3 linked regions of the Oryza sativa Japonica Group genome follow. The protein of the gene in region 2 interacts with the protein of the main gene of each other region in a pairwise test. Links are inferred from orthologs where the notes say so. Each region holds a gene or a part of one and is shown on either strand. Other genes may lie near its edges. The genes, in order: auxin-responsive protein IAA31, auxin response factor 11 and auxin-responsive protein IAA33.

Region 1 (4,274 bases), on a different chromosome or scaffold from region 2:
TCCTAGGGCTGAGGGATTTGCTTAGGACATAATTGGCACACACGCGTGGAGGGGAATCTCCTCGCTATCACCTTGGGGCTGAATGCCACATAGACGCACTATGAATGGCCCCGTGAGAAGAGTGAGAGCCAAGTAGACAAAGTATCCTCGTCAATTGTATTCAAAGATAGGAGGACAGACACAGCACAATGGACAGAACTAAAAGCTATCAGAGCTATAGCTTCTGCATCAACCATCCAGGCTGTGCTTGCACTGACACTGTAGCTAGCAATCCAGCCAACCAGCAACCTCCACAATAAATACACTAACACATATAACACCCAGCTCTTGTTGAACCTAACATAACATCAGGAAATTAATCAATCATGCAAGCAAATCTGAAACCAGACAGGGACTCTCCATCTGACATATGCATCAATCTTCATCTCCCAGCTCATTTTCCTTGCTGCTTCACACACACATGCTTGGACCCTACTACCCTCTCAATCTCCAGGCATTATGTTCTCCATTAGCCAAAACCCATCACACCATCCCAGAAGACAAGGAGTATAGTGCCCTTGCATTGGATGCTACTCTCTGAACTCCCTGTTTCTCTCTCTCTCTCTGATCAGAGTGAGGCTAAGCTAGATGGATGATAGCCTTGACCAGCATTAATCTTTTCCTTGGGTTTCATGTGCACCACATGTAGTCTGTCTGACTAGCTCTAGACAGGTGCATGTTACCATTGCTGGATGAGTTGTGTGTGTGTGGGTGTGTAGTTTCAGGCACACAGATTAGTTCAGCACTGACCATGGAAGGCTTGTCCCTTGATGACCAGCTTGATCTATCTGCCTCTCTGGCTAATAAAGCTTAATTACTTTGCTTGGTTTTGTCACTCTTGACAAGTGGATCAATGGTTAATTAAAGATTTAACTGGATCTTGGATTGTTAAAACTGTTAATCTCTCCCTCCGTACATGTTTAAACCTGCTCAAGGGTCAAGACAAGGAGCATCTGATGAAAGGACAAGATTTGGACACACCAAGCAGTTGTATATATTTATAATTTTCTTTTACTTCAGTCACTTGGGTGAATCATAGCTTGTCCCTTTTTTGCAAAGTGATGCTGTCTGAAGAGGAGAAAATTGTCTTGTGTTCTCTGCTTCTTCTTGGAAACAGAGCAATGACTGATGGCTTAAGTTTGTGCCTCCTAATTGAGATTCAGAAAAACCACCAAGAGTGTGAAGGATTAGTGGACTAAGTGAGCATATGGTGAAGTTGTTACTGATTAGTTAACCATAATGAACGATGCAGAAGTAATTTTCTGCCGTTCTTGCAAATTGATGATAATCTGGATGGAAATCAAAGCATTGAAGCCAGAGGGAGAAGTACACACAGCCCATGCATACATGCATTCTTCTTCCCTCCAGTTACAAAAGTAATCAACCATTCATGTAAAAGAAAAAAGATGTTTGCTTTGTACAAACACACATGGAGGCTCAACTCGAACCTCCATTCCTTCTGTGTTTTCTAACACCTAATTAAGAGGAAAAAAACAAATTAAAGCCACACATCCACACATGCATGCATGCTTTGCAATCTGATGACTCCAATTAAGCTTCACATATTTTTTTCACTGCATCTTTTTTTTTTTTGCTTTCCTTTTCTTTCTCTCTCTCTCTTTCTTGAAGGTTGCAATGAGGAGATGAGATGATTGCATGTCTTGGAGAACCCAAAAAGAACAAAAGAATTGCTCATGCACACATGATGATGATTTCTTCTTGTTGTTGTTCAGTTTTTAACCCCTTGTTGCTCCTAGGCCTCTTGCTTCAGACCCCTTCATGATCCTCAACCTCTTGCACGTACTAATGAACATCCTATTAAAAAGACAATCATAGAGTTAATTAGAAATAATTCAAGTAAATAATTGACTCATACTATAAGTCGTTCCAATTTTCTCTGATTCATATTATAAGCTGTTCTGATTTTATTTTAGGCAAATTTTAAGTTTAACCCAAATTTATAGAAAAACATAGTAGCATTTAAAAAGACAAACATATATACTATCAAAATATATTAATGTTAGATTTAATGATACTAATTTATGATACTAGAAGTTGTAAAAAAAATTTATTAAACTTAATTAAACTAAAAAAAATTGGAAGCAACTTACTCGAATGGGACGTCGCCGACGAGCATGAGGTCGCCGTCCTTGTCCTCGTAGGTGACGGCGAAGTCGGACGGGTTGACGGCGGCGTCGGCGGCGGCGCCGCCGGAGAAGCAGAGGAACATGGCCTCCAGTGCCTCGCGAAGCTCCCGGTAGCCCTTGTACACCTTGAGGTCTATCTTCCTCAGGTATGGAGCTCCGTCCATGCTCACCTTCACGAACAGCCCACCGGCGCCGGCGACATCCTCCTTCTGCTGCGTCTCCGCCGCCGCGGCAGCCGGCGGCGGCTTGCTCTTCGTCGTCGTCGTCGTCGGCTGGAGGCAGCTCTTCCTGTACGACCTCACCGGCGGCCATCCCACCACCTGCGCCCTGCAGCAGCAGCAGCAAACACGACACGTATCAGAGCTAGCTCTGCCATCCATGGCGGCGACGGCGACGAAGACGAAGAAGAACTTGATATTAATTACTTGGCGGCGGCGGCGGGCTTGATCTTGGCCTGATCAGGCTCGCCGGCGAGGGCGCGCTTGCTTCCGGCCCTGGGCGTCGACGGCGGCGGCGCCGCCTCCTCCTCCGTCCCCGGCAGCCCGAGCCTCAGCTCCGTCGCCTTCAGATTCTCCATGATCGATCTCTCCGGCGAACTCACCAACTAAACTCCGACGAGCTCCTCCTCCTCTTCTTCCTCTTCTTCTTCCAGCTAGGTAGCTCGAGACGATGAGCTGTGTGACCTCTGACTTTGTCTTCGTGGCTGCTAGCTGAGCAGCAATGGCGATGTTTTATAGACCTAGCTAACAAACCCTAGCTATGTGAAGAAGCACACACATGTGGATGTGAGCACACGAGTGCATGTACGTACATCCATACGTGCCACTGCCAGGCCACACGCTTGGGAGGGTGGTTGTGGGGGTAGCTAGGGTGCAGCCATGAGGGCCATGCCGGGTCAGCCCGCGACAGGGGCGGGCCGACCCCGTGGGCCCCCTGACGCCTCATGCAGATTCGTCGGGTAACGGGTTTCGGGTCCCCCACTACCCTATTGTTCATTGTAATACGGGGTCATCGGTTATTGATCCTCGTAACCCTTATCCGATAAGTGTTATTTATAATGTATGCATTGCTGGCACGAGTTTAAGAATCCAGCCTACTATGTACCTAGTTGCAGCATTGTTATTGGGTATGGATCGTTTTCTGTACCTGTGGATCCGGATAATTAGTTAGGGGGTCTGAAGGTTTTTTTTTTCTTGAGATAGTTAAACAAGGGTGCCAAAGCCATGATTAGGATGCTATCATTAGAGATCTTTGGGGGAGCATCTTTTGGCATATACAATGCTGTTTCCCCCTCTCCATATTGTCCAATAAGATATAGTGGCATGGAACAATGTAACATGGAGTGTATACATATGTTGCAGTATTCTATTGCATGCTTCTCATCATGTAGTGTATCCCCTTGTGAATCTCTCTCCACTACCTTTTGTTTCTTCTTTCTTTGGCCTTTCTTCTTTTGGTGTTGGCCATGGGGGCCTAGGGAAATTAAAACACCTAGTGGCTGCTTGTTTAGTGCAAACATTATTTCCCAATTTCTGAGTACTGTTAGTTGTTGTTAATTAACTAACCCTTTTTATTTGAAAGCTAGAAGCTGCAAACTAAAGTATGGTTTGTTTGCACCGGTGCTGTTTCTTTAACTAACCAAAGCTAAGCTAGCTGCGGCCTCTCATATTTTTCAGATGAGAGCAAGCAGCTGGTCCCTTGCTTAGGGGTAAATTAGTTAATTAAGCTTTAATTAATTAATTTGGCCTATTGGGTGTCATGAATGGTTGGTCCAGCTTGAAAGAAAACTGAAAAAATATTTGCTTGGCTTTACAAGTTTATTTCACTTGTCTAATTGACAATTTAGTAATTAACATATATCTGCACTAGCCAAAAACAGTTTAGGATCCATCAGAGTTCATGCAGAGAGTACTGGTTGATCTGTAGATCGATGTTCCTAATATTGACAAGACGATTGATCTGTCCCAACTTGTTACATTTTATATCCTTTTATTAACTATGAAAAGTTCTCACCATCAATCTATGCAAGATACTGTGATGTACAGTGTCTCATTCATGTGTGCAGTGAACCAGTCTCTTCCCTGTAAC
Region 2 (4,672 bases):
TTCTAGAAAGTTGAATATGTATATATTGGTTAAGGTTAAGTAGATAGCCGCTGTAGGAAAATCTAATACTGGTAATGGACATTCTTTCGAAAGAGCAAATAACATAAGCAGTTCTTGTGGTATTTCAATGCATGAATTGTTGCATAGGGTTTAGTATCAAAAGGCTTAACAATCTCAGATTCAATTTTCTGATAGCACACACAGGTTAAGTAACAAACAGACTTTGCATGTATTTATAGAACTTATTTCACCTTATAAATAAGACAGAGTCCCCTGCTTTTAGACGCTTTGCCCCAACAAAGAGACTCCATCCAGTTGTTAGAAGATGTCGTTTTGGCTGTCCTGCAAGGGACAAGAAAAGAAGAAACTTTTAGGAGACAGTGGCCCAAGAAGCATATATTTATGTATCAATGAACAAGACAAATAAAATCCGAATATTGTTTGACCCTACCACGATAAATGTGACGGAATGTCCACATGTTATCATGCAAATCTCGAACAATAAGCTCCTGGTTAGGAGGTTGCATTGAGTAATCCTGTCGGTACAAAACTTAAACCCATGAGCTGAAGCATTTTTTTACAGAAAAACTATGCGGCAAACAAAATGTAGATAAAGGCTATACCAGTTGTGGGAACAACTTCTCTGCAGCCCTTCGTGGCACCGAGAAACCACCATGTGTACTCGTATCACTTGCGGTTAAATTCTTGCAGAAATATTCAGTGGGGTGCTTGCTTTTGGTATAAGCACCAAGAGTTGGAATAGGGAATACATCCGTTTCCTACAATAGACGGCACAAATAAATATTAATTTAGAATCCATCTTTTATTCCTTGCACACTGAATTTTTGTTTCTGTAATCACATTTTATGCATTTCAATAACAATTGGTGTTTACATTTTAATAGAACCAAATAAAGTAGTACAGAACTCAGTACACAATGTAACAGAGAAACATCATACTTACAGAGTTTACTGGCTGAAGGGTCATCTGTGCATAAACTTCATCAGTGTCCTTGTCGGCCTGTGCAAAACAAACAATCAAGCACAGGCAAAACACATTTGGCCACAAATATGTTTGGAATTGAATTTGCTTGAACTCACATGCAAGGTGATGTTGTGAACTTGACACAGCAACTGAGATGGCAGGTTTGGGTAGTTCGGAATGCGGGAATTTGGAATCTTTCTAGTTGTCGCTGCAACCTGCAAGGGCATCATCCCTTCAACATTGATCATTCCAATAGCAATCCCAAAGTATTATTGAGCATCAATCTGACCAAATTGTTGTCTATGGTTGCAGCATTTCAAAACGAGATTAGCTGCAATTTGTGAAAAAAGACAGTAAGATTGACCTGTTCACTGTGCCCCTGAGGGAAGTAGTACACGAGGCTCCCCCGCTGCGGCAAGCACACAAGCGGCCCGGCACAAGCGTGCCAGAGCTCCGAGTTGATCACCTTCTTGGCACCTGAAGAAGGAACGGACGCTACTCGCATCATGCCAAAAATTGCAACAAATTTGTGCGCAATTATGCATCAACAAGCAGCAGAATCTGACTGAAAGTCTGAAACACTCACCCTGTGTTTCTCCCATGAGCTGCATTTCGTCGAGCAGCGCTGCGGCATTTCTCAGAACACCCGTCTTGGCCTTCTCCTGCGAGGACGCCATATGTCTCCAAGAAACCCAAGAACAGCTGCAATCTGAATGCCAAGATTCTGATAAAACCTCAATTCCAGAGTACTAAGCCAAGCGAGCAGCTTAGCCACACTTCACCATCGACCAAATGTCACAAATGCCTGCATACCATTGCAACAGAGGCAGAGGATATCATTTCATACGGTGTGCAGTGTGAGCAGCAGTCAAAGTGGAGAGCCAAAATAAAATAGGAATTCGTGGAGAAGGGAGGTTCAAAATGCATTGGCTAGCTATAGCTTGGGTGTTGGGTCCCCATGGCGGCCAAAACCACCTCCCTTTCCCAAGAAAGCAGGCGGCTTTTGTGTTTTTACGCCACACAGCTCATGTCTCTAGGATTAGTAGCAGTAGAAAGCTACGCGGAGAGTAGTAGCACTAGTACTAGTAAATGTCACCACGAATATATCAGCTACGTGCTCGACGAAATGCCACTTGGCAATCATCCTCTGCCGTGCAGCTTGTAAATGCAAACACAACTCCAGGCGAATGCCTACGAACAAGGGAACAGGAACGCCACCCCTCTAGTAGCACTAGTACCAGCCCTCCTTCCCCCAGGTGAGGCATTTTCACAAGAAGCGAAGACCATCACTCACCCATGCATATGAATGTGTGATCGTAGTCTCAAGAACATCGGCAATGCCGGAGGGAACACCCAAGATCACCGGATTAGAACAACCAAAAACTTAAAATGGGTAATGCTAAGAAGAAGCAAGTAGCTGAGAGACAAGCCAAGAGCACAGAGCCCACTCACCTCCTGAGAGAGGAGAAGACGCCGCAATGGCACCCCACGAATGTCTCCAGTGGCACCCGCCCAAACCCGAAGTATAAAAAAGAAGCAGCGAGTGTGGCAAAACGCGCAACGCCAGCAAAGGCAAAGCGGTGAAGAGAGAGAGATGGGCAGGCGAGCTCGTGCTACAGCTAGGCCCGGACGCACGCGAGGAGGAAGAAGAAGAGGTTGTGGAGTGGAGTAGACGGGTGTAGGAGTAGTAGTAGGATGGGGGCAGTAGATGGCAATGATACGGAGGAGGGTGGTCGTGCTCCCCTCTTCCCCTTTGCGCCTTTTGCCTTCTCTCTCTTGGTCTTGGCTTCCCAGCCTCTCTCCTGCTGCTGCTGCTGCTGCTGCTGCAGTGTGTGATGCTGCTGACCGCGGCTGCTTTGCGCGAAAGATGCCGACCTTTCGAGGGGGGAAGCCATGATTCCTCATTTGCGCAGGCTCGCTCGCTGCGTGTCGTCCCTCGCTACCCGCTGTAGCTTTTCCTTGCGTCGTCGTCGTCAGTCGATCGCCTCTCTCTCTCTCTCTCTCAATGCACGACACTATCCCCATTTGCTCGCTTCTCTTTCCCATGGTGATCCCCCACTTGTCAGCGCAGGCGTACGTACTGTCCTCGTGTCCAGCCAAACGCGACGCGCCGAGCCGTGCCACATCTCTGTCCCTCCCTCCACCATGCGACGCACGCCACATTTTCTCGGTCTCGTTTTCTCACGCACGCGGCCACGTCTACAACACTAGCAAAAACGTGAGCACAATATAACAGCTACTACTCCAACCGGTAGATCGACGGATGGAAGGCATGGCGTATTTGGCCTCGAAAGGTTAAAAAACAAATGGTACGCCAATAATGAGATTCCCGCGAGCGGTTTGCTTTTCGCTGTTGACGATAAAAAGTCACTTTTTCCCCCTCTTCTTACCACCGCCAGGGATCAACATGAGGAATCATGCAAATCATCGCTGTGGCGTCCGATGACCTACTGCTGCTGCGGCTAGTAGCCTGCTACTACGATCGATCGAGTGAAGTGTGTTGTAGCTCACCACGAATCATTTCGTTTTCCTCACGCTTTTGCACCAGTTGGGACAAAAGGTTCGTTTCGTTTTACAAATTTGCGAAAAGGCATGCGTTTACATGCGTCTATGCCATGCCGTCACAAAAAGCGCGCGATTAGTACGATTACAAAAAGAAGTCATGCGACGACTTTCATATTGTGAGCTGAAAATCCACTAACCTTTGCATTGTATCCAAAAGCAGTTTTTTTGGGACAGAACTCACATCGTGCACAGTTGCATACTCCATCAGTATAGTGTACTGTGCAATTGTGCAGCGTGTATACCTTAGGACATTCATAATGCGCCACTAGTATTTGCGAAGCCTCGCACACCACCTAGATCAGGAACAATGTTTAGCTACATGTGCCACAGTGCAAGTTACTACTTGTGGGTCCCACCAGTATCAGCTTTTACCACTTTTTTCTCTCCCCTCTCTCCTGTCTTCTTTCCCCACCGCATTCACCGCACTGAGCAGCCAAGCGGCGACGGCACCGACCGGAGGGGCGACGGGGCTTGGCTCTCGCCGGCGCACCAGCCTCCTCCTCCCCCCTCCCCCCCCCCCCCCCCGCGGCGAAAAAAGATGAGCGCCGGCGCGCGGAAGTGGAGGAGGAGCTTGGCGGCGGCCCGACTCCCCCAGTTGATCTAGGACGGCATCGGGCGGCGGGGCAATCAAGCGGCGGCCCGAGCTCCTTCCGCACGAGCTGCGCGGCACCGGGCGCGTGCAGCTGTAGGATCGAGATGTCGACTAGAGGGGGGATGAATAGGCGATTTAAAACTAAATAACACCTAATCAAATCTAACTTAAGTTGCTAGGCTTGGTGAGGGTGAACTCTAACTAAGCAACTAAGTTATGTTTTGCAAACCTAGGGTGATAGTGGCTCAATTATATCTCTAGGAAAGTAAATCACGCTCCTATGTCAATGTTTTGCAATCCTAGGGTGATATGATCTCAAAGTGTCTCTAGAAATGTAAATTGCACAAATTTAAATGCGACAATCAAAAGAGACAATGAGACAAGAGATTTTTCACCGAGGTTCGGAAACTCGCCGGTTTCCTACTCCCCGTTGAGGCGAGCCCAACTCCACCGCTCAACCACGAAGCCACCGCACGCCCCCTTCGTCAAGGGGTGGGCAAGGCGGGAGCCGGCCCACGGAGAGGACTACCC
Region 3 (3,370 bases), about 570 kb from region 2:
AGTAATTAATGGAGACCAAGTACATATCCACGTACTCCTTACGTACGCAGGCAGTAATAGAACGCTGTTCATGACAGTTATGCTTCTGGACACAGCGGCCATCCCAATCTCAGTCTCATCCATTGCTATCGTCAACTCGATCGACCAAACTGTTCTTGTGCATACGCGTGTAAATCGATCCAATCTCCAAATTAACAGAAGCAGACGCTTAATTGAAATCGACTTTTATAGCATAGTACGTAGCTGATGCTACACTGATAGATTCGATATCATCGAGATCGACGAGTACTGATCGAGCTGGTTAACTGACGGCTACTTGTAACTGCATCTCTGTATATATGTACCTGCATATCTGCACGTTCGGACAAAGCGTCGGTGTTCAAGAAGCTATCGAGAGACTGATCGATCGATCGAGCAGTTGAGAAACACAAGCAATCAGTGAACACAAGCCCTCACTTTCAAAGCAAGAACACACAAGTCAATCGCAGACGATGACTCACGAGAGAGACGGACACGGCACACGACGTACTCCACGTACACGCACAGTTAAGCATGTACAGCGAACAAGATGTGACACGAGCAGCGATTTGATTAACTAACCTGTAATGAATCGATTAATTAACCTTACTAATTTGCAGATCAATTCAACCGTACGTGCACATTACCGGTCACGATTAAAACGGGATTATAATAACTAACTGAATTTTCTTAACGACGTTACAAACTGATGACAAAAACACAAACTATTTCGATTTCGAAAGGAGGAATACTGGATCTAGTAGTAGCTAGAGGTTTATGTGGTTTAGTTACAAGCGAGCAGATTAAGATTGAGGCCTCATCCGGCTAGATGGCTTCGCCGGGATGATCCGAATCCTCCTCGCCACACGGACGAAATCCCTGACATGGATGTATTGCAGGAGAATCAGATCAGATGAACAGCACACAGAAATGCGTCAAGAATAATTCAGACAAAGCACGAGATGAACACGAAGTGAGATTAACAAGATGAGTGTGAAGCTAATTACTTCCAGTTGAGGTCGCCGGCGAGGAGGAGGTCGTTCTCGATGTCCTCGTACGCGACGACGTGCCCTGGAACGGCATTGGACAGGTCGAGGCCGCCACGGTCGGCGTCGCTGCAGCTGCTCCTGCCAGCTGCCTCGTCGGCGGCGCCGACGTCGTCGTCCGCGTCGACGAACATGCGGCGGAGCGCGGCGGCGAGGCTGCGGTAGCCGGTGTGCTTGCTGAGGTGGACGCGGTGGCAGATGGAGCGGCCGTCCAGGACGACGGTGACCGGCGGCACCACGCCCGCGGTCACGTCGTCGCCCTGCTGCACCGACAGCCTCAGCATCTTCCCGCGGTGCTGCTTCTGCCGCCTCTCCTGCTCGGACGTCGTCGGCGCCGGTAGCCGCCGCTTCGTGTCCTGCTGCTGCTGCTGCTCACCGCCGGCGCCGCTTATCATGGGACGATGGCGGCCGGCGCGATTGATCGAAGAGCTCGCCGGCGCGGCGCTCGTGGCGTGTGGGCGGCGCGGTTGGTTGTGCGTGTGTGTGTGAAGAGAGGCACAGACGCACAGTGAGAGGGGGTGGGTTAAATAGGATGAAGTGGAGTGATTGGAGCACCGTTCTGTGGAAGGTTAATTGTGTCTTTGCCGTGTGAAGCGTGTGACCGTTTTGTAGGAGAAGATGGAGTCATAGAGGCTAGAGTGGAGCTCACTATTTGTATGTTATCCAATTGATTAAAATTTAGCTTGTATAACTTAGAAAAATAAATTAAACTATGGCTAACTAACGTATACTTACATTCAAATTTATTTTTTCAGTTGTAACTTGTAGAAGTTAAATTTGATATTAGTGATTTATCATATATTAATCTATCTTATTAAATTTTTTTATAATTATTTAGATGACATGTAAATAACGAGGAGATATCCCTCGAAAGTTAAGTTTAGAATAGTTTTCGTGGAGTGTGGAGCTAAGGTATGGTTGCAAATTAACGAGATCACTGTACTGCATTTAATACAATACCAGTATTCTTTTCAGTTTTTCTTTTTGTCGTAATGAACTTGGTTTCAATTCAAAATTATATATTGAGAATTGCTAGTAATTAACTAGGGACGACAATAATTCATTTCAATTGAAGAAAGACAGTCATGGGTGCGCTACAGTGCTAGTACGTGCACGGTGTGTGTTATATATATATATATATATATATATATATATATATATATATATATAACACACACAAACACACAAGTAAATTGCCAGCAGGGACGACCGGTGGGACGTCGATCGGGTTGCTTGCAAGTGAGTAAAGGGGTCGAGCAGTAGTGCAGTGCCAGCAACCAACCAAACCCGAGACAGGAATTAAACAAAACTAGCCTTCTTGCCATTTTCTTTCCCCCTGGGGATCGATCGATCGGGTTAGCCGCCCGGGGCGTGCGCGCGCGTCCGCATGCAGCGGCGTCCGGAGAGAAACGAAGAAAAAACGGGAGTCTGCTCGTGCAATCCCGGAGGTCGTGGTGGGGGGCGCGCGCACCGCACGAGACCACCGCGGATACCGTGTGCCGATCGATGGACCTTCGTATACGTGCGACTCGCGCAGCTGGCCGCTGCAGGTCGCGCGGGGGCTTCTCGCATGCGCATGCAGCATCTCGATCGGCGCCGCCCGCGCGGCGACCGATCTAGCTAGCTCGCGTACGTACGTTTCTCCGGTCTTTGCACCCGTCGTGGTAGCTGGAAAAACGGGCGGCCGCGCGGCCGGGGAGACGTTGGATTGGAGCTAAGCTACGGAGTACTATGCGCGGTTGATTTGGTGCGAGAAACATGTGAGTTACAGTTACTGCTGCCTCTATCGTTGTGGTTGGTTGAATTGTGCTCTTACCAGGTCTGTGTTAGAGCAAGTTCAATAGTATAGTCAACTACTAGTTCCAATTTATTTATAGTTAATCTAATAGCTCATTTATACAATAGTTACATACTACACTATTAATATCTGGTCCCACCTATCATACACACACTGCGCTTTGGAGTTTGTGCTACAACTGGCTACAAATCTGTAGCCCGCTGCTCTTAATTACATGAATATTGCGTCTGTAGTAAATTAAAGGTCATAAATAATGTCCGTGTGGATTAAATTCGTGATCGCGCGCACGTACGGTCGTGTGCGTGCAGATCGATCGATCTGGGTGTGATACAGTGTACACCTACAGCGCGTAAGTTAACGTCCTACGTCCATGGCCGTGTGGCTGCCGGCCGGCCGGCCATCGATAGCAGCATGCATGCACAGCACGTCGCAAGACAACGTGTGCGCGCGCGCTATAAGCTACAGGACCACAAGGATCGACGAATTAATGCTAGCTTCGGCTGTACGG

Evidence for each region.
Region 1: the proteins of auxin response factor 11 (region 2) and auxin-responsive protein IAA31 interact in a two-hybrid assay, tested with the Arabidopsis thaliana proteins (2 studies listed by BioGRID). The link is inferred for Oryza sativa Japonica Group from reciprocal best matches to the Arabidopsis thaliana genes MP and SHY2.
Region 3: the proteins of auxin response factor 11 (region 2) and auxin-responsive protein IAA33 interact in a two-hybrid assay, tested with the Arabidopsis thaliana proteins (2 studies listed by BioGRID). The link is inferred for Oryza sativa Japonica Group from reciprocal best matches to the Arabidopsis thaliana genes MP and IAA33.

What each region holds. Positions count from the first base shown.
Region 1 is NC_089046.1:26,036,798-26,041,071, reverse strand, and holds auxin-responsive protein IAA31, read right to left. Parts: upstream 2,892-4,274; 5' UTR 2,764-2,891; coding exon 2,612-2,763; intron 2,514-2,611; coding exon 2,151-2,513; intron 1,855-2,150; coding exon 1,776-1,854; 3' UTR 875-1,775; downstream 1-874. UniProt on the Arabidopsis thaliana protein: Aux/IAA proteins are short-lived transcriptional factors that function as repressors of early auxin response genes at low auxin concentrations.
Region 2 is NC_089038.1:34,411,564-34,416,235, forward strand, and holds the start of auxin response factor 11, read right to left. Parts: upstream 2,862-4,672; 5' UTR 2,437-2,861; intron 1,790-2,436; 5' UTR 1,662-1,789; coding exon 1,571-1,661; intron 1,462-1,570; coding exon 1,349-1,461; intron 1,200-1,348; coding exon 1,101-1,199; intron 1,021-1,100; coding exon 964-1,020; intron 780-963; coding exon 624-779; intron 537-623; coding exon 452-536; intron 343-451; coding exon 252-342; intron 1-251. UniProt on the Arabidopsis thaliana protein: Auxin response factors (ARFs) are transcriptional factors that bind specifically to the DNA sequence 5'-TGTCTC-3' found in the auxin-responsive promoter elements (AuxREs). Seems to act as transcriptional activator.
Region 3 is NC_089038.1:33,839,118-33,842,487, reverse strand, and holds auxin-responsive protein IAA33, read right to left. Parts: upstream 1,642-3,370; 5' UTR 1,460-1,641; coding exon 1,026-1,459; intron 898-1,025; coding exon 822-897; 3' UTR 669-821; downstream 1-668. UniProt on the Arabidopsis thaliana protein: Aux/IAA proteins are short-lived transcriptional factors that function as repressors of early auxin response genes at low auxin concentrations.